5 linked regions of the Oryzias latipes genome follow. The main gene of each other region encodes a partner of the protein of the gene in region 3 in a complex. Links are inferred from orthologs where the notes say so. Each region holds a gene or a part of one and is shown on either strand. Other genes may lie near its edges.

The links.
Region 1: drc3 (region 3) and drc7 share a complex: the UniProt entries of both Homo sapiens proteins name them as parts of the nexin-dynein regulatory complex. The link is inferred for Oryzias latipes from reciprocal best matches to the Homo sapiens genes DRC3 and DRC7.
Region 2: drc3 (region 3) and growth arrest-specific protein 8 share a complex: the UniProt entries of both Homo sapiens proteins name them as parts of the nexin-dynein regulatory complex. The link is inferred for Oryzias latipes from reciprocal best matches to the Homo sapiens genes DRC3 and DRC4.
Region 4: drc3 (region 3) and tcte1 share a complex: the UniProt entries of both Homo sapiens proteins name them as parts of the nexin-dynein regulatory complex. The link is inferred for Oryzias latipes from reciprocal best matches to the Homo sapiens genes DRC3 and DRC5.
Region 5: drc3 (region 3) and efcab2 share a complex: the UniProt entries of both Homo sapiens proteins name them as parts of the nexin-dynein regulatory complex. The link is inferred for Oryzias latipes from reciprocal best matches to the Homo sapiens genes DRC3 and DRC8.

What each region holds. Positions count from the first base shown.
Region 1 is NC_019865.2:28,540,716-28,544,229, forward strand, and holds part of drc7 (dynein regulatory complex subunit 7), read left to right. Parts: intron 1-78; coding exon 79-186; intron 187-857; coding exon 858-1,004; intron 1,005-1,428; coding exon 1,429-1,568; intron 1,569-3,514. UniProt on the Homo sapiens protein: Component of the nexin-dynein regulatory complex (N-DRC) a key regulator of ciliary/flagellar motility which maintains the alignment and integrity of the distal axoneme and regulates microtubule sliding in motile axonemes.
Region 2 is NC_019861.2:21,837,613-21,841,282, forward strand, and holds the end of growth arrest-specific protein 8, read left to right. Parts: intron 1-1,255; coding exon 1,256-1,307; intron 1,308-1,398; coding exon 1,399-1,601; intron 1,602-1,706; coding exon 1,707-1,805; intron 1,806-1,931; coding exon 1,932-2,012; intron 2,013-2,113; coding exon 2,114-2,323; intron 2,324-2,415; coding exon 2,416-2,481; intron 2,482-2,565; coding exon 2,566-2,625; 3' UTR 2,626-3,168; downstream 3,169-3,670. UniProt on the Homo sapiens protein: Component of the nexin-dynein regulatory complex (N-DRC), a key regulator of ciliary/flagellar motility which maintains the alignment and integrity of the distal axoneme and regulates microtubule sliding in motile axonemes.
Region 3 is NC_019866.2:12,376,650-12,380,680, reverse strand, and holds the start of drc3 (dynein regulatory complex subunit 3), read left to right. Parts: upstream 1-1,222; 5' UTR 1,223-1,341; intron 1,342-1,474; exon of another isoform or gene 1,475-1,496; 5' UTR 1,497-1,545; coding exon 1,546-1,684; intron 1,685-1,763; coding exon 1,764-1,880; intron 1,881-1,975; coding exon 1,976-2,142; intron 2,143-2,265; coding exon 2,266-2,412; intron 2,413-2,519; coding exon 2,520-2,639; intron 2,640-2,729; coding exon 2,730-2,842; intron 2,843-2,939; coding exon 2,940-3,114; intron 3,115-3,215; coding exon 3,216-3,347; intron 3,348-3,962; coding exon 3,963-4,031. Other genes in the region: tom1l2 (TOM1-like protein 2), read right to left, coding at 723-774. UniProt on the Homo sapiens protein: Component of the nexin-dynein regulatory complex (N-DRC) a key regulator of ciliary/flagellar motility which maintains the alignment and integrity of the distal axoneme and regulates microtubule sliding in motile axonemes.
Region 4 is NC_019882.2:5,921,384-5,925,388, forward strand, and holds the start of tcte1 (T-complex-associated testis-expressed protein 1), read right to left. Parts: upstream 2,802-4,005; 5' UTR 2,714-2,801; intron 2,564-2,713; exon of another isoform or gene 2,493-2,563; 5' UTR 2,448-2,492; coding exon 2,348-2,447; intron 2,271-2,347; coding exon 1,708-2,270; intron 1,507-1,707; coding exon 1,057-1,506; intron 148-1,056; coding exon 1-147. UniProt on the Homo sapiens protein: Component of the nexin-dynein regulatory complex (N-DRC) a key regulator of ciliary/flagellar motility which maintains the alignment and integrity of the distal axoneme and regulates microtubule sliding in motile axonemes.
Region 5 is NC_019861.2:24,641,688-24,645,633, reverse strand, and holds the start of efcab2 (EF-hand calcium-binding domain-containing protein 2), read right to left. Parts: upstream 2,803-3,946; 5' UTR 2,491-2,802; coding exon 2,466-2,490; intron 2,349-2,465; coding exon 2,279-2,348; intron 2,192-2,278; coding exon 2,119-2,191; intron 1,041-2,118; coding exon 964-1,040; intron 369-963; coding exon 326-368; intron 1-325. UniProt on the Homo sapiens protein: Component of the nexin-dynein regulatory complex (N-DRC), a key regulator of ciliary/flagellar motility which maintains the alignment and integrity of the distal axoneme and regulates microtubule sliding in motile axonemes.

The sequences.
Region 1 (3,514 bases), on a different chromosome or scaffold from region 3:
GATCTTTTTTTCCAATCATTAAATGTGTTGTTGCATTTGGTTTGATTAACTCTATGAACATGTGTGATGTGTGAACAGATAGAGGACATTGTGGCCTGCAGGGAGCAGGAGCAGAATCAGGTGAAGCTGAGGAAGAGGATTAAAGAAGCTGTCCCGACATGCGAAGACGAGGAGCAGAGGGTAGAGGTAAGATCTTAAGCCCGAGCCCGAGTCAGAACGAATTTCGGGCCGGGTCGGGGACTAAAATGACAATCATTACGTTCGGGTTGGGTCGGGCCGGGCTTCTCTCTCGCTGCCTTTTTTAATAAATATATGTTTATAAAAATGTATACTAAAACGATGTGTGGATACTAAACTAAGGAATACTTGTCATAAATAAATAATCTGGTTAAAACAGAGAAGGCGCTGTAAGGTAATTGCTATATAACTACTACTAAACAGGAAGCGCGGCTGCAGTATTTCTCCGCGTAATGAAGCGAGTGCGCATCAAGATCTCTCTTTCATTCTCTTTGTCTGGCCTCTTATTCTGTGGTCCGGCGTTATTTCGTTGTCCAGATGCATTTATCATGATCATAAAAATATGTAGATTATTTTAACCTTAAGAAATCTTGCGTTTTTTTCTGCCAAAAATACTGTGGGATAAATTAAAATTTCAGGTTTGCTTGGGGCTCGGGCCTGCAAATAAGTTAATTGGTCGGGTTCGGGCTGGGTTGGGCTTTAATGCCTGTGTCGGGTCGGGCTGGATTATTTAGGCCCAATCTTACCTCTAGCAGAGGGTGAAACATTAACACACACACCAATACACACCGAGTATAATGACACAATCATATTATCTGTTTCTTCTCTTGACCTTGAAGGATGAAAACTCGCTGGAAAGCTGGAAGGTTTTGATCAGCAAGAACCTGGACGCAGAGGAGGCCAATAGGCTGTATCACAGCCTCCTGGAGGAGTTCAAAGACAAAATGGTGGCACAAGCCAACCTCCTCCAGGAGCGTTATGAGAAGGTGGATTGTTGGACGCGGTTTCTCACTTTAATGTTTATTTATGATTATTTTGTAAACTCCATAAATCATTAACTCCGTCTTTCTAGGCTCTGGTGATGGGGAAATCAACCAATGGTTCACACAGTTCTTCACTTCTAGCCATCATAAATGGAAACTAATAACTACTGCAGCTTCTGATGTACTTGAACCTTCATATAGTGTAAACTGTTACGTCATATAATTTGTTGTAAAGTTTGGAATATTGATTAACACGAAAGCCCACCTGGGCTGCTGGGATGTGGCAGCGACTTATAAACTTCAATCAAATATCTTCTGCTCTGATTGCAGACCACTTATGTTAGTTTGAAGATCCAGACTTAAGGCTTGCTTATACGTAAACTGTAGATTGGGGCCCAGTACTTACATGGTCACATTTGGGTTATAGGACACACGGGAGTTGCATGCAAAACAGAACCAGTACCGGCGAAACCACCTCACAATGACTGAAAAGCAGCTGGAAGAATACCAATGCTTCTGCTCAGAAAAAACAACACAGATAAAAGCCACTCAGATTCGCCTCAACAGGTACACACCCACACACACACAGGTACACACACACACACGCACACAATGGACGGACTAAAAGTTCCTACAGTCACCTCAACTGCAGTTAGATTAGGATGTTAGTTCAAATTCATTTGATGTGCTACAACATTTACATGCTGATATCTCTGTTGAAATTAAATGATTCTTCTTTATTAATTTATTGTACTTCTTGAACTCTCATATTTCTGAATTTGAGGCTGCAGATATTCTCATTTTTGTATCGTGAAAATGAATGATGAAGTTTGGATTTGGAATACATTCTTTATGTTGAGTTATCATGACTCTGATTCCAACTTCAGTTTTTGCAATACCACATGGCACTAGGGGTGCTAAATAAACTCATCACCCTCTCCTTCCCTCTCACTCATGGTGCAGAAAGAATTAAACAAATCCGTCCAGACAGGTAAAGGGAATGGTATCCCACAATTCCTTGCGCTGCCGATCTAACAGCAGCACCAAAGTTACACCTACTTAATATAACTAATTTGAATGAAAGTAAAATAAATGTCTTAAAACTGTGTTATTTTTAAGCTGACTGAACTCAAAAAATGATTTATCTTAACTGAAGCAAATAATTAAGTTTATCTTTCCAACATCCATACATGGTCTTATCAGCCCCTCATGGTGGAAAAAGTATTATCTGAGCTTCTTCATCCACTAAATCATCTTCAAATGGACACGCCATGCTGCTTCACCTCTCTAAAAAACAAACTAACCTTAAACTAAACCTGCTCCAGACCAGGTTATGTTCAGAGCATGAGTTGCTAGGGGAACTTGACATACCCTGAAACATACCTCCATTTCTGGAACCGAAAGCGGTGGTTGTACACTTCTTTAGCCTCAAACTTACCGTGGGAGCTAGCATAACCTGCTTTTTGGAATACCCCCCTGGTCTGCACATAACGCTCGGAAAGGAAGGCAGAGTGGCACAAACAATACTTTGCGCTGAGCTTCACTCAGTGCAGAGCTTAAGTATGCTGTGGTTGATGAATGAGAGTCAGGTGTGAGGCATCCAGGAAGTGTGCGCTGGGGGGTTGTAGTGTCAATAGAACTCCGGGATCAGCTCCCGCTGGTGACCAGAGGGGAAGAACAAACTCATCCTTCTGACAGCCTGTGAGTGAAGTAGTCGCAGGCGGGCTACTTTTTCATGACGGACAAAAGTTACATGTAGTGCCTTGTAGCAAATAATCCATCTATCTATCCATCTGAGTTTTTGTGCCACGAGAAAAAGAAATTCTGGAGGATAAATTTTTTTGTTTCTTACTTACAGGAAAAAAAAGTCAAAATGTCGAAAATAAAGTCTAAATAAAGTTTTGAGAAAAAAGTTGAAATGTTGAGATTAAAGTCGAAACGAGGAAAACACACCCAAGTTGTCTGTTTATCGGAGCCTTGCTTGAAGATGAAAGATGAGAGGGACTCAAAATCAGATAATTGTCTGTGCAGCCGTCTTTCCGGGGTTCGGTGTTGGTAAAGTAAAGTAAAGTGTCATCAGTAAAATAAGGAGCTCAGAGACACGTTTAGGGGAAGAGGACCGCTATTTTATTTTCCTTTTCATTCACATACCCAGAAGTCCATTTGTCATGAACCTGTCATGCGCAGATCAGCATGTGTAAAAACTGTTATATACGTCCCTTCCCCCACATGAAACGTCCCGTTTCAACATAAAACAACAAAGATGAATGAAAATAGTCTGTTACATTAGCAGAACGTTGAAATTGCCAAAAACTGCTCCTCCTCAGACGGAAGCGTCACACAGACTTAGAGGTCTTGTCTTTGGAGGAAGAATGGATAGAAGTAGACAGCTGCAGGGACACCGATGTCTTCATCAACGGCTGCAGAGATCCTGCAAACCACCCATCAATAAAGAAAACATTAATAAAACCGTTAACCAAACAATAGTAAACATTCAGCTTACCTGTTCAATT
Region 2 (3,670 bases), on a different chromosome or scaffold from region 3:
GCACATATTATTCAGAAGTTTAAGACCCACGGGACAGTAGCCAACCTCCCTGGACGTGACCGAAGAGGAAAATTGATGACAAATTGAGGAGACGGATAGTTGGAACTGTATCCAAAGAGCCCAGAACAACCTCCAAAGACATTAAAGGTGAACTCCTAGATCAAGGTACATCAGTGTCAGATCACACCATTCGTCGTTGTTTGAGCCAGAGTGGACTTCGTGGGAGACGATCAAGGAGGACACCACTGTTGAAAGGAAATCATAAAAAAGCCAGACTGGAATTTGCAAAAATGCATGTTGACAGGCCACAAAGCTTCTGAAATGATGTCCTTTGGACATATGAGACAAAACTGGAGCTTTTTGGTAAGAAACATCAGCTCTATGTTCGTAGACTCAAAAATGAACCAAACAACCAAAAGAACACTGTCCCTACTGTGAAACATGGAGGAGGCTCAGTTCTGTTCTTGGGCTGCTTTGCTGCATCTGGCACAGGGTGTCTTGAAGTTGTACAAGGTAAAATGAAATCTCAAGATCATCAAGGCATTCTGGATAGAAATGTGCTGCCTAGGGTCAGAAAGCCTGGTCTCAGCCGCAGGTCATGGGTCTTCCAACAGGACAACGATCCAAAACACACAGCCAAAAACACCCAAGAATGGCTAAGAGAAAAGCGTTGGACGATTCTGAAGTGGCCTTCTATGAGCCCAGGTCTGGATCCCATTGAACATCTGTGGAAGGAGCTGAAACATGCCATTTGGAGAAGACACCCATCAAACCTGAGACAACTGGAGCAGTTTGCTCATGAGGAGTGGGCCAAAATACCTGTGGACAGGTTCAGAAGGCTCATTGACAAATACAGAAACCGTTTAATTGCAGTGATTGCCTCAAAAGGTTGTGCAACAAAATATGAAATAAATTTTCAAGAAATTTTAATTTATTATTACTTTTGAACGTTTCAAGTCATTTCAGTGAGCATTGTGGACTTTCTTTCTTTAACTGAGCGGTACCAACAATTTTGTCCACCACTGTAACATCTAGTCCTATAAAACAGACCTATTAACTCTATTTAGAGTTCTTCTAACTGTCAAGCTGTTTTACTTTACATGTTGGCAGCACCATTCAAAACAACACCCACATACGGTATTTGACACGAACATTTTGTCAGGAAATGATGAGCATTACATACTACACACAAGGGACTCCCAGAATACCTCTAAGAGGCGTTTTACACAAATTTGTGATTAATTTTTATCTTCAGTTACAGGATGAGGTTACTAAAACAAGGAGCAACTGGGAGCAGCAAGTCACAGGTAAATGAAACTAAACTCTTAGCTGAATTTAAGACAATTGTGTTTTTTAGAAATGAACTCAAAAGTCCCATTTTTGACATTATCTGTGCAGAAACCGCTGCAAAATATGAAGAATGTCTTAAGCTGTTCCAAGAAGAGTTGGAAAATACTGAAACAAGTTTGGTCATGAATTGTGAACTGGAACGAGACACCCACATTGTGGCTTTCCAAGAGGAAATGAGGGAAGTCTTCAACAGCATTCAGGAAGTCAATATTTTAATGGAGCAGAATAGAGAGATAATAAATGAAATCCAGGTAGGTTTTATTTTAAAATAGATATATAAAACAAATGTGTTCAGGACAAAAATGAAATAGTTTTATACTTTAGTAATCACTGCATGTTTTCTTTGCACCTCCTAGAACAAAATTTTACAAGAGAAGGAAATTCAAGTTTATGATATCCCCAAAGTTCAGAAGACCAACATTAAGAAGAAAGCAGATTTCCACTTGAAAAATAAGGTTATTGTTATGTTGATACTTCTGTTTTTTAAATATCAGTGTGACTTATTGAAGTGTATTCAAATTAATGTACATAAAAACTCAAATAAAAAGTGTAATGTGTCACTTTATTACTTTTCTTCACAGCAATCTATCAAAATTCCTGAAACAAAGACCGTTGAGGACCTGAAATTAGAAAATGAAGCACTAGAACAAAAATTCAACGGGGTGAAAGATAAAAATCCCACTTCACACGATTCATTGTTTTGAAGTCGAGAAAATATTAATATTCTATTTGTTTTTTCTTAATCCCATGTTGATTCACACAGCTTCAACTGGAAAAGGCAAAGTTGTACAATTCAGTGACTCCAAATATTGAGAGAACCCGTGAAAAAGTGGGTTTGAGGAGCGCACAGCTCAGGAGGAAGCTGCAGGACCTGACGGACAGTCTGGCAAGGTCACAGACTCAGCTCTTCACTGTTCTCTCAGACCCAAACATGGACCACAATGTTCTCAGTGAAATTGCAAACAAAAGTGAGGTAATGTTTCACACTCCTGTGTTCTCTGCTTTAAAACTCACTTTTGCCATATCTTTAGAAAAAGGATAACTGACAAAAAGTTTTGTCTGTAGGAAAATTTGGACAGAAGAAAATCTGCCATTAGGAACATTGCATACAAAAAGAATGAGATCTTGAAGGTTAGTCATTCTTTTACCTCATTATTTATTTATTTATTTTGTAATGAAAAGACTGTGTATGTAATGCAAATGTGTATCCCGCAGGCCCGAAGTCATCTGCTGCTGACCGGTGAAGAAAACCCGATGTTTAAGTCTCATAGATAAGATTCTGTTAGATCTCTTATTTGGAAAGCAGAACCTGGATTTCTGGAAGTGAAATGACAAATCTCACGTCTGAATTAAAAGAAAATTGTAATGTCTTTATGATTTTACAGAGTGGACTCATAAAAAATATAAGTTTGCTTCATAACAAATTATAGTATAAGAATGGATTTGCTGCAATTTAAATCTAAAGTAATGATCCATTAAAACAGACAACACATGTAAGTTTATCTTTGTGGCTTTACTGTCCTCTACAGGCTACGTACAATAACTGCAACCGCTCAGCTTCAAGCCTTTAAAGTAAAATCAAAATCTCAAATTTAAAGATTAAAAAAACAAACTAATGGTTGTATCCATGTTTTAAAACCGATGTGAATCAGGAACCTCTTGAACTTAAAAATAAATCTTTCAAGGGTCTTGATTTTGCCCTTTTCTTTTAAATTAATTACTTTTACTTCAAAATAATTCATAGTTTCATTTATAGTTAACATTTTCTCTGTAGCAAAGAAAAAAAATGCTTCAAAATAAATGTTTTATTAATCATTATCTGTATAGAATTGAAGTTTTGTTGACATATCTGCACCGCTGAAGCTACATTGTGATTACCGTAATTGTATTTAATACCATGTTACAGATGTTTAGCATCTGCTTTGGCACACTGTTGTGCAAAAAGGATGGAGAAAATAACCAGAACAATTTGATTCATTGAAAACTAAAAGAAAAACAAGAATTTGGGCCTGTTATTTGTTCCCTGTTGTTGTATTAATTAACTAATAATTTATTTTATTGTAGCAGTTGACATGTTTTTTTCTGTGTACTTTTTTCTGTAAAGGCTGGTTTTATCTTTCAAATACGTTGAAGGTTTTTCTTCCCCTGTCTGAAAATTTAGAACATTATAATGGAACTGAGTCAGTACACATTGAGGGCGAGTACAGTTATGAAGAGGCAACCTTTTGTGGGTATTTAGTTTTTTATTAAGATGGAGCAGCATTGTTTTTAGAAAGAGAATAATCTCCCTACATTTTTTTTTTCTCCTCAAAGATGTTTG
Region 3 (4,031 bases):
AAGATATTGCAAAGACTATGGCTAAAATGTCAGCAGAAGCAGAGGTGTAAAGCTGTTGTACTGTGTAGATGTGCATCATTCCTCCAGACTGTGATTTACCAGATTTCAATGATATTTGCATGATCATCATGCATCCAAAAATCCTTTTTTTATTTATGGAATTGAGCCAAACACACATTGTAGTACTGAAAACTGTCTTTGTTTGCACCAAGACTAAATGAAAAATCACATTCATTTTAACTGAGTCCACTTACTTACTACTGGAAATGAAATACCTAATAAAATAGATGCTACAGGATTACATAAATACGCTACGCCGCATATATTTTTCATTTAATGTCCATGAAGAAGGTGTAAAGACAAAAATGAAAAAGACAACACGCCCTGTCTGTCAACACAATCTTTATGATTTTAACGTTGTTTTGTTCGTTTCAAAGCGTTATAATATCATAACACATCAGATGCTATGTGAACGACTTAGCATCACAAGTTATCACTGTCAATTACAGTGATGAGTTGTGATTACAGTGTTTTTTACTGTTACAGTGTAATGCACTAAGTTCGGTTAGTTTGTTGTTAACATGAGCTTAGCTAAGTAGATGACGTTAGAACATGCCAGCTAGCTCCTTTTTTCCCCTCAGAGTCTTAGTGCAAATTCTCGAAATTCATACTGCACTAAAACAAAAACCTTTTCAACTCTGTAACACAATTTAGGGACATACCTATGCATTGGCCCACGGGTGTGCTATAAGGATTTCCAAGTAAGAACTCCATTTCGACAACAACCAAAACGCTTAGGGAGGACAGAAGCTGAGGCCCATAGGAGGCACAGTCAAGACCCGCCCACCGAATCCTATTGGTCAAAACTTACAATACCTGATATGCAATTGGTTGATGTCAATGTCTGTCAAAAGTATCAACAAAAAGACCCTCTGCTTAGATTTGTCTTTTTCCTTATTTCTAATGGTACAGTCTAACAAGTTTATTTATTTATTTATTTATTTATTGTTACGAAATTTGACATGTTTAAAAGTAGAGATGCACTGCAAAAATCATTTTTTATTAAACTTTTTTTCTGTATAAACCATTTCAGATCACATAGACGTCTCCATAAATAGACGGTATTCGGAGCTTTGGTTTTACCTTTCTAAGTTAAGTTCGAAAGATTGTCTAATTGTTCTTTTTTCCCCCGAGTCAATCTTGGGCACGTGAACGCATCAACAGCAACAACCTGTTGCTATGTAACAGCGTAGAAACAGACGCAAGTGTTACTCTCGCATGTTACGTATAGCTTCTATCAAACTATTTGGAGTTGGAAAATCCCATTAATTTTTGTAAGAGGTGAGTTTTTTAGTTTATTATCTGCTTAGTTTGCATCTTGTAGTGCGTCTGTGTTCACTCTGCGTGTTTTAACTCAGTCTTTTTAATTGAAAGTGTTGTTTGTCAGTAAAATCCACGTGTTTACACTTTTCAGATGGAATATTTATCTGTTTCAGACATGTTGTAAATTGAACTTTGATAGCTTTCAACACCAGAAACAGCAACATGGATCCAGTACCCAACAGGATGAACAGGGAGATGATCCAGAATGCAATAGAGAAAAACAGCATCAAATCTGATTTAATGTCCAAAGAGGACAACATTTGTCTCCCTGAAGCTGATGTCATTAAACTGGAATACCAAAGTAATGAGAGTAATAAAGTTAACCCTTAACAAATGCAGAAATAAGTATTTTATTTACATGGGGGTAATTTGTTTTGCAGATATCCAAAGGATTGACTCGTTGCAAGAATATACCTCCTTGGTTCGGCTTGACCTAAACAATAACCTCATTAAGAAGATCCAGGGCCTGGATTCTCTTATTAATTTGACATGGCTAAGTAAAAGGCGTTTTATCCTTGCCAGGAATATCACATGACTTTGAAAGACATATAAAATAACAGCATGAATGACCATCAGACTTGCTGTGTTACAGATCTGTCATTTAACCGGATCGAGAAAATCCAGGGTCTGACATCTCTGCAGAAACTCAAGGTCCTGAATTTGTCAAACAACCAAATCACCGTCATAGAGAACATGGACACACTTGACAACCTCACTCATTTCTTCATTGGATGTAACCTCCTAAACCAGCTGGAAAATGTAAGAACATTTATTTTCGTACAATAAATTTTTATTTTTAGTGCTACAAACATAGTTTAACATTGTGTGTGGCTTTTTAAAGATTTACTTTTAAAACCTTGTAAAACCTTGTGCATTTCCCAGGTTTTGTACCTAAAGAGGTTTAAGAAATTGGTCCACATTTACATGAAGGGAAATCTCTTCTCCAACGAGGACGATTACCAGTTTTTTATTGTTGCTTTTTTTCCAAACTTGACAGTCTTGGACAACAAATTGATTCTCCAGGAGCTGGTAAGTTATGACACAGAAGCATGAAACCTATATTAAAACTGTATTTTTTATGTGATTTTTTCTGTGTAAAATGCTTTGAGGTAAACCATTTATGTCTATGCATGCAGAAAGAAAAGGCATCCAGCAAATACCAAGATGACATCGAGAAAAGGAATCAAGAGGAGAGTCAAAAGCAACTAGCTGAAGAAGTTCTGCAAAAACAAGAAGCTGAACTGAATTTACACAAAGTACAAACACGCTTTTTCAGTTTGTTAATGCTGATTATCAGATGCCGTGATTTTTTCCTGCTGTCTAAAGTGTGCTCTTCTCTTTCATAGGAGGCCTTTGTTGAGTACCTCGATGGGCCACATTTGTTTAAAAGCATGTTTGATGAAGATACGTTCTCATCAGACAGACGTTCTGTTCCAGGAATAGAGGATCTCCTTCAGTCATATCCTTTGTTCCGATTTTCTAACACTCAGATTGATCACAGCTTGTTGAACAGCCTGAGCAGTTCCGTCATTGACCTCCTTAACTCTGTGCTTTACATTTGAAAACCAAATGGTGGGGCTGTGTAAGCAGTTGTTTGACAGAGGTTTGGCAGAGCGTGAACAGAGGGAAAGAGAGCTGAAGTCATTCTCCAGTTCCCAGGATGAGGTAGAGACGCACTACAAAAACCAAGCAATTCAAGTTCTGGAGGATTTTAATAGGCAGCACAAAGAGGCAAGAGAACAGGAACTGCTTTGTAAAATGAAAAAAAAAGTGTTCTTCAGTAAAAAAGAATATGGTACAACTAATCAATATTTTCTTTTGTCATCCTTTAGAGGATTAAAAAGTTGGAGCAATTAACCCTCCGAAACTCAGTTTCCGAGGAACTCAGCCGTGGCTATGATGAAATCAACAAACTCTCTGAAAGGCTGATGACACTGGAGTTTAAGCTTATCAGCAAGCTGGAGGTACTTCTGTTTGTACTTATGCATTTGATTGTTCTCACGTGTGAGTAATTTGTCATTTTTAAGAACATAGACGATCCAAAAGAAAATGCACTCCAAAAGTGTCTCTGTCTGCAACTTTTGAAATGGTTTATACATGCTTTTTACTTTAGTCTATTAATCAATTAATCATATGTCTATCTTTCTGTTTTTGTCAGCTTCCTAATACATTAAGTGAAAAGGATTCCCCTTTCTTTTTTAAGTCTTTCTGCACACGGATGTAATATAATCCTAAAGATTGGCAACCACTCAGTATTTGGCAATATAATCTCAAAATTAATAAAATTGCTTAACATTGAACAACACTGTTTTGTCAATCGAACATAATGTAACAAGCAAGGTAAGGTGTTGGGTTTCATCATTGCCACTTCACCATTTTAGCATAACTTGTATTCTTGTCTTTAAGTTCTTTAACTTAAGTTCAAAAGTCGATGTTCCAAAACTTCTATTTTAATCAGTTTTCGTCAAAAATATCGTTCTGCAAATCTGTTCTCTTCACACTTTGTTTGATTTTGGTTGTAGATTTTATTAATGTATCTCCAAATTATTCATTTTACTTTGATAACTCTATATTTTCAGGAGAACATCAGAAACGTTGAAACCTGCATCTCAGACAAGGTCACAGACTTCATTGAAATTGCTCAAGAA
Region 4 (4,005 bases), on a different chromosome or scaffold from region 3:
TTGTGTTTTTAACTGTGACATCTGGTTGGCCCAAAGCAGCTTGTTGATGAGGAAAGATCTCTGATCATCAACTTGGGTCAGGTGGACGTCACATTCTTTTATAGTGGAGTTCTGTGACAACGCAGCCACCAAAGCCTCACCTCCAACCTGCAGACATGGGGTTAGAATACAAAAATATAAAACATAAGAAGACTAAAATTCACCTTTTGGTCATTTTTTCAGCTTAGTAAGTTTTAAAACTCGTCAACAGAACTTGTTTTTCTTTAAGCTGGAGTGGACCGAGGTCAGAAGTATTGATGGTTTCATTTCTGCTGTGTGAATGATTTTTGATCCACCAGATCACTTCAGTCACAGATACCACGAACTGTGGCAGCAGAGCTGCAGGGGATAGTTGTAAATCTATTTTTATGGGGGGAAAAAAACCCACTTCCTACTCTTTCCATTACTGCCTGTGTTCTGCAGACATCGATAAATAATTGAGAATCCTTGCAGCAACCCTGACTGTGTCAACAAAGGGAGCAGCAGAGTTTTGGGATGAACAAATTGAATCGTTTAGTTCAAAAGGGGTCCAAGTCCACAATTTTTCATAATAGAGATATTATATGTTCTACGGGCTTCAAAGAAAAAGTTATCTGAATTTTGTGCAAAAAAGTCCCAAGTCTGTTGTAATGTATGCTTGACATTTAAAATGCATTAAGTGCAAAATTCCTGGACTTGGGCCTCTCCTGCATGGGTTTTGTTTTATCCCATAGATGGCAGCACTAGTTATCCAATATGGCAGCGCCCCTGTTTAATTCAAGAAGAGCCAAAGTCCAGAGACTTTAGTTTGCTAGTCTTCTGAAATTATAAAAGTGAGGTGCTTCATATTATAGCATTTGAAGCTATGAACTGGTGCTTAATCTGGGTAAAATGTTAATCATTTGGTGTAGCCCCCCTTTAAGATATGCAATTCAAATCATTTCCTGGAAAAACAAACCTCTTGGACTTGGGCCCCTTTTGAACTAACCGATTCATTTATGTTCCAGTTAAAAGAAACAAACGTGGACATGTCCTTACCTCACAGAGCTGGTTGCAGGACAGATTAAGGCTTTGCAGAGTTGTATTCTCTGTGAGCACTTTAGACACAGCCTCAGCAGTGACTGAAGTCAGATAATTTCCTCCCAGGTTCAGATTGTGTAGAGTTGTGTTGTTCAGCAAAGCTTCGGCAATGGCCTGACCCCCTTCATCCTTTATCATATTCAGAAGCAGATTAAGGGACTCAAGAGTGCAGTTCTTAGATAAGGCCAGAGCTATGGCTTTGGCCCCCTGGCAGCTAATAAGGTTGTTGCACAAGTTAAGAGTCTGCAGTTTATTCCTGGTGAGCAGCTTGCTGATGGCCCTGGCTCCAACGTCTCCAATCTTGTTGTGACAAAAGTCGAGTTCTTCCAGGGAAGGGTGGTCCATGAGGTGTTTCACCAGCAGCTGACACTTTCTGTCATCCATGTGGCTTTGGTGGAGCCTGAAAAGCTTAATATTGAGGATAAATGACGACGGAATACAGAGGGAAACTTTTAGAGCCATCAAAATAAAAGCTTTAAAGTTAAGGATAAAAAGGATAATGACCAGATTTAAAGGATTAACACATTAAATCATTCAACTACGCAACAAGTTCATTCCAACAAACCTTTAAGATAGTAAAATTTGTAAAACACAAAGAATAACTGATACCTTCAGTGTCTTACAGGACTGAAGAGCCTTGGCGAGGGTCTCACAGTCTCTGTATGTCATCTCAAACATATTCCATGCAAAGTTCATGCCACATTGTTTGATTCTATAAACCAGGTGGAGCTCTTCCAGGTTTGTCAGCCTCTGAAGCAGGATGTTAAAGTCAAAGTGGTCCATGGGAGGCACATACCTCTTCCAATGAAAGTCATGATCATTCTCCTTGCTCTTCTTCTGAGGCTCCACGACAGGAACCAGGAGCTGTGAGATGTCCAGACGCTTGACGTATTTTTCACAAACTGATACGACATCAAGAACGGTCTGCGGGTCGGTTACATTTGGGATGAAAAGTTCAATGATCTTCTCCAAGTGCTTCTCCAAAAACATTCGTTTCCAGCTGTGGCCGTGAACAGAGACATCACAGAAGGCCAACTTCTGCTGGCAACAGCGCCTCCAGTAGGGCCCCTCAGGGAGCACGCTGGCTGTGACTTGGACAGGAAGGGAAAGGGACAGTCTCTCCTGCAGGAACTCCTTCTGGGCAGCTGTGAGCATCTCAAATATTGGGTTTCCTGTAACAAAGAGGAACTGTGCAGTCAAGTGGCTCCACTTTTTGCAAAAACCGAAGCTGCAGGAAAATTATACATACTTTCAAAGTTGTTCACAATGATTTGCAGGCAGAGAATGGATAAACTGGGCACTGTGGTGATAGACCAGTCTGGATCTTCAGCAATGATCCTCCTCCTCATGTTTATCTTTTATTTTTGTAGCTTTCAAACTGTCTCATACAAATCCTGTTAACAAACAATAAACATTTAAGAAGTAAACATCTTGGAAACTGGAGAAAGTAGCTAGCTAACGCTAAATAAATGGTCTATTGAATACTTCAGTTCAAAGAAGTAATTTGCGTAAATATGTCAAAAAGTATATTGACAAAAACCGCAAAGAATTATCTGAAGTGCATTTCAGTAAGATTAAAAAGATATTTAATCAAAAAGAAGACAAATAAACTCACGTTTACGAACGTAAACAAAGCCCCCCGTGTCCTGTTATGGAAACTTCCAGTCGTTGCCATGGAAATCGAATCATTCGTGTGTAGTTTGAGGCTTCAAGGAAATCTTAGCTTCAGCGTCACTAACTACAAACATAAAAATAATTCCCGTCGCTACTTTAAAATTATCAAGCAATTTACACAAAACATACCTTAAACGAGTCTATTAGCTGAAGATAATGAGAGTAGACTGAGATCATTCGAACTAGACTCACAACATTCGTTGTTATGGGATTTAAAAGTCGAATATGAACACCACAAACTAAAAGAAAAAGAACAACTCCGCCATACTTGAGGGTTCTCAAACCTCTGACGCGAGAACAGTAACTTCAAGTACTGCTGCTACAAGTGCTTTTAGCGTTATTGTTTTTCCTTTAAAATACACCAATTATTTTCTAATTCATTAATGGATTTAATTGATAAATATAGATTCACTTAAATATGTCAATTATACTTTGCACGGAATTGGCTCTTGGTTGATTAAAAATGTTTAAATATAATTCTGAAAGTTTTGAATTATTTTATATAATGTATTTTTGCTCAGAAAGAATAATTGCATAATCATTGTGCATCATTTTGTGTTCTTCAAACTGATGGCATGTTGTTTGGACTAAAACAGGTATGAAATATATAATAATAATAAAATATAAAAATGATCAAATATCAAATGTTGCCATTTAAATAAAAAAACAGCTACAACATTTATTCAGTTTTGAATGTTACACAAAATGATTTTAACTTTGTTTTAATCGTAAGAAGCACTTTAAATAATATAAATTGCATATGTATAGGAAAAAATATGTATTAACACATTATGTTCATATGAATCAAGTCGTGCACAAATTGATTAAATTTCAAATAATTACTGAATTCAGTTTTTATTTATAGATGTAATAAAACTAAAATAAATAAATTATGTACATAAATGAATCCTTAGTCATTTGAAAAGCAAAAACTGGTAATATTGACAATAGGGAGGGCTTGCATTAGGCCAAAATGAGATGATCTCAGAGAAAAGCACAGACTAATAAACTACCAGATGGGCCTTGGAAATGGATCATGTGCCTTTTGGATGAGAAATCACTTGAGTGAATCCATCTGTCATGTAAACAACAACATGAAGCAGGTGCTTAGCTCCATTTCAGGCGGGGAAAAATGCATACATGCTGAGTTTGTTCATAGAAAATACAGCTTTTTTTCTCATAAGAATTATTTATACACATAAACAAAGTTGGCAAAAAATGTTTTTGTTGTAG
Region 5 (3,946 bases), on a different chromosome or scaffold from region 3:
TTCCCAGTTGGGATCACGGGAGCCTACCCAGCTTTGACACAGGATAATTGAATCTTCAATTATCCTGTGAAGCATGTTTTTGGACTTTGGGAGGAAGCTGGAGTGCCCAGGGAAACAAAGCAATCACCAGGGGAACATGCAAACTTTACCAGGGCCTTAAGGAAGTTTTACCATTAATTTTCTTTCCTTTACTGTGGCTGCAGGTAAAGCTGAAGAAAGTTATGTGCAGTCATCAGACAAAGACGTGAGACTGTCATTCCCCTTAGTGGACGGAGATCGTGAACTATGGGTCTTGGCGATACAGTGAAACTGGGTGTCCTCTCACCTCAAACGCCTGACGCAAATGCTCTTCAGGAATGGGAGGAAACCTAACAAACAGAATTAAAAATAAAGATTATTTTTCCCGTTTACAAATAGAGCTTTGCACAATTTTCCAAAGTAAACAGGAGGTCCCAGTTAGTCTCAGAATGTAATGGCATGGCAACTATAGTGTAATGAAGATCTTTTTGAGGCAGAGTCATTGACCATGCAATGCTGAATGCTGAGGAGTGATAATGAGGGGATCAGTTGCTCTCAGATAAAGGTGTCAAACTCCAAGTTGCTCATGCAATACAACACCACATACAATGAAAAGTGGGTTCAAATGTTGAATTTATTCAACCCAACAGCACAAGAAGATGTTTCCAAATCTCGTATTGAAGGAGATCACATATTTTTTTGTTTACAGTGTTTTTAGTAAAGTCTGAACCGCCTTGCCATTGGGTCTCTCTAGTACATTATCTGCAGCATGCTAGGTGATAAATGACAGTTTTATTTATCATCATAAAAAAATTGTGTCAGCTGTACAGAAAGGCTAACATGAGTGTGTTTTTCCACTGTTTTTTCTTTTCTGAAGCAGACAAAAAAAGTTGAATGAATTTAAAATGTGACTGGAAAATAATGTAGAAAGCAGAACTTTCTTACTTGTTCTCCATTATTACTTTGGTCATGACTGGTAGGAACTTGTCCAAGTGAACATATCCCATATTGTCCTCCTCCACCTGTGTGAACAGAATTTTGTGACAAAAGTTCTGAAAGATGTTACAAAACAAGAGAGTTAATCAGAGTTAATCAAATGTAATTATAACAAATTTATATGTATTTTTTAAATGTTCTGAATGTGGTGTTTTACATCTGTGAAGATTTTTCAATCATAAATGTTATGGCAGGATGACACAGTTCTTCAGGGTAACTGGACTTTTAAGGTTTATCCGGAAGACATTTCTGCCAGTAGATTCTTCAGTTCTAACTATTGTTAAAGAATTGAATGCTATTTATATGCTGACTATTTTGAAGGTGTGGCAAAATGTGGCTTTAAAATATATTACAACAATCTATATGAGGCAAAATTAAACTGCAGGGGGGGCCCTGGGCACATAAGTGTGTGAGGCCCTTTCAACAGTCATTTAAATGTTTTATCTTTCGTTTTTACATCTTTTTTATATAAAATAAATTACACTACTGAAGTCATTGTACCAACCGTGGCAATACAGCAAATAAGCCTGAAATCAAGGCCTGACTGACTAAAAGAGTGAGAAGTTGCGCAAATAGACGGTCCGTGCTTTTCATCAATGCTTATTTTTATTTATTTTTGTGATTCTCTTGGACTGCTGCTGCGCAATGATCAACATGCGCAAAGCGCGTAAAACAAGGATTCGGCACGCACTAAAGTTTTTAGGTTAAAACAATGCAACAGAGAATAAAGAATTGATACAAAAGCGGCTGAATCAAAAAAAAATTAGCTCTTAAGTTGATTCTGCGGGTCAACATATATTTTCTGTAAAATCAGCGATACGACGTTACAGTCAGACCACGCGACACCTAATCATCCTATATTTGCTGCTCCAATGATGGCCAAACGCTCCTGAATGAGGAGGTACAAGAAGGGGGTGAAGGCTCCAGCTGTCCAGATATGGACAGAAACAGATGGAGAGAAAAAAAAGCGCACGGAGAGATGCGCAAAAAAAAAAAAAAGAAAAGAAATTTCAAAGTAAAAGTTTGTTGTACTTGTAGGAAGGTCTAGAAGAAGCAAATGGCACACTATTTTGCCCGCCTGCGAGGAGGGCGGAACTTACTGACCTCATCCACGAAGCGATGGATGTCTGCTTTGGTGGGGAAACATCCCAGCGAATAGATGATGGTGCTGACCTCACTGCAAAACAACATTTTCGGAGTGGGCGCTGAGTTACTCTTGACTTGTTTGAGTTAATGAAATAAGTTTGGGATCTTTAAAGCTCACCGGACGTCCACGGTGTTGTCAGCTTTGTGGTCAAACACGTGAAAGGCTGCGCGGATTTTCCTCTGGATTTCTGATAACCAAAGCACAAATAGACTGTATTCATCTAATTTATATATTGAAAAAAATAAATGAATTGTAATAACAAAAACTAAACAAATTTTAAACCAGTAAAGAAACTCTGACTGACCTGCTGTTTCACCGGCTTCCGCCATGTCTGCCTGGTGTTGTCGTGTTGCTTAGCAACCGAGTGACACCCTACTTAATATTCTTTTACCAACAAAAAAAATGTACTGTTTCCTTAATAACCTAATTAATTCTGAGACACTTAATGACCTATAATGATATCTGTTTGCATATTGGATAAATAATTTTTCCAACTCATCAAGTCTAAAACTTTATCTGAAAAAGCTTACAGTGGGGCAAAAAAGTATTTAGTCAGTCACCAATGGTGCCAAAGTTTTACTACTTAAAAAGATGAGAAAGGCCTGTACTTGTCATTATACCTCAACTATGAGAGACATAATAAGAAAACAATTCCAGGAAATCACAGCGTCTGACTTTTAAAGAACTTTTTTCTCAAATTATGGTGGAAAATAAGAATTTGGTCACCTACAAACAGGCAAGATTTCTGGCTCTCATAGACCTGGAACTTCTTCTGTAAGAGGATCCTCTGTCTGCCACTCGTCACCTTAATTACTGGCACCTGTTTGATGGTTGTCTGAAAATGTATGCTTGTCTATAGAAAATACACCAGTACACAACCTTAAGCTGTCTAAGGACACCAGAAACAAAAATGTTGACCTGCACCAGGCTGGGAAGACTGAATCCGCTAAAGGTAAGCAGCTTGCTGTGAAGAAATCAACTGTGGGAGCAATTATTAGGAAATGGAAGACATACAAGACCACTGATAATCTACCTCCCTCTGGGGCTCCCTGGAAGATGTTCTCCCCCCGTGGGGTCGGAATGATCACAATGAGCAAAAATACACAACCACACAACCACACAATTAGACCTAGTGAATGACGTGCAGAGAGCTGGGACTAAAGTAACAAAGACTACATCTGTAACACACTACGCCGCCAGGGACTCAAATCCTGCAGTCCCAGACATATCCCCTTGCTAAAGACAGTACATGTTTGCTAGAGAGAATTAAGATGATAAGATTATTCAGAAGAGGACTGGGAGAATGTCCTATGGTCAGATGAAATAAATAAAACTTTTTGGTAAGATCGATACTCGTCGTGTTTGGAGGAGAAAGAATACTGAGTTGCATCCAAAGAACACCGTACCTGCTGTAAAGCATGGGGGTGGAAACCTCATGATTTGGGGCTGTTTCTCAGCAAAGGTACTGCTGATCCGTGTAAAGGAAAATTTTAATGAGGCCATGCATTGTCAGATTTTGAGTGAAAACCTCCTTCCATAAACAAAGGCAATGAAGATGAAACATGGCTGGGTCTTTCAGGATGACAACGACTCCAAACATACTGCCTGGGTAACAAAAGAATGACTTTTTAAGAAGCATTTCAAGGTCCTGGAGTGGCCTTGCCAGTCTCCAGATCTCAACCTCATAGAAATTCTTTGGAGGGAGTTGAAAGTCTGTTTTGCCCAGCGACAGCCCCAAAACATCCCGGCTCTAGAGGAGATCTGCATGGAGGAACATTCCAAAAT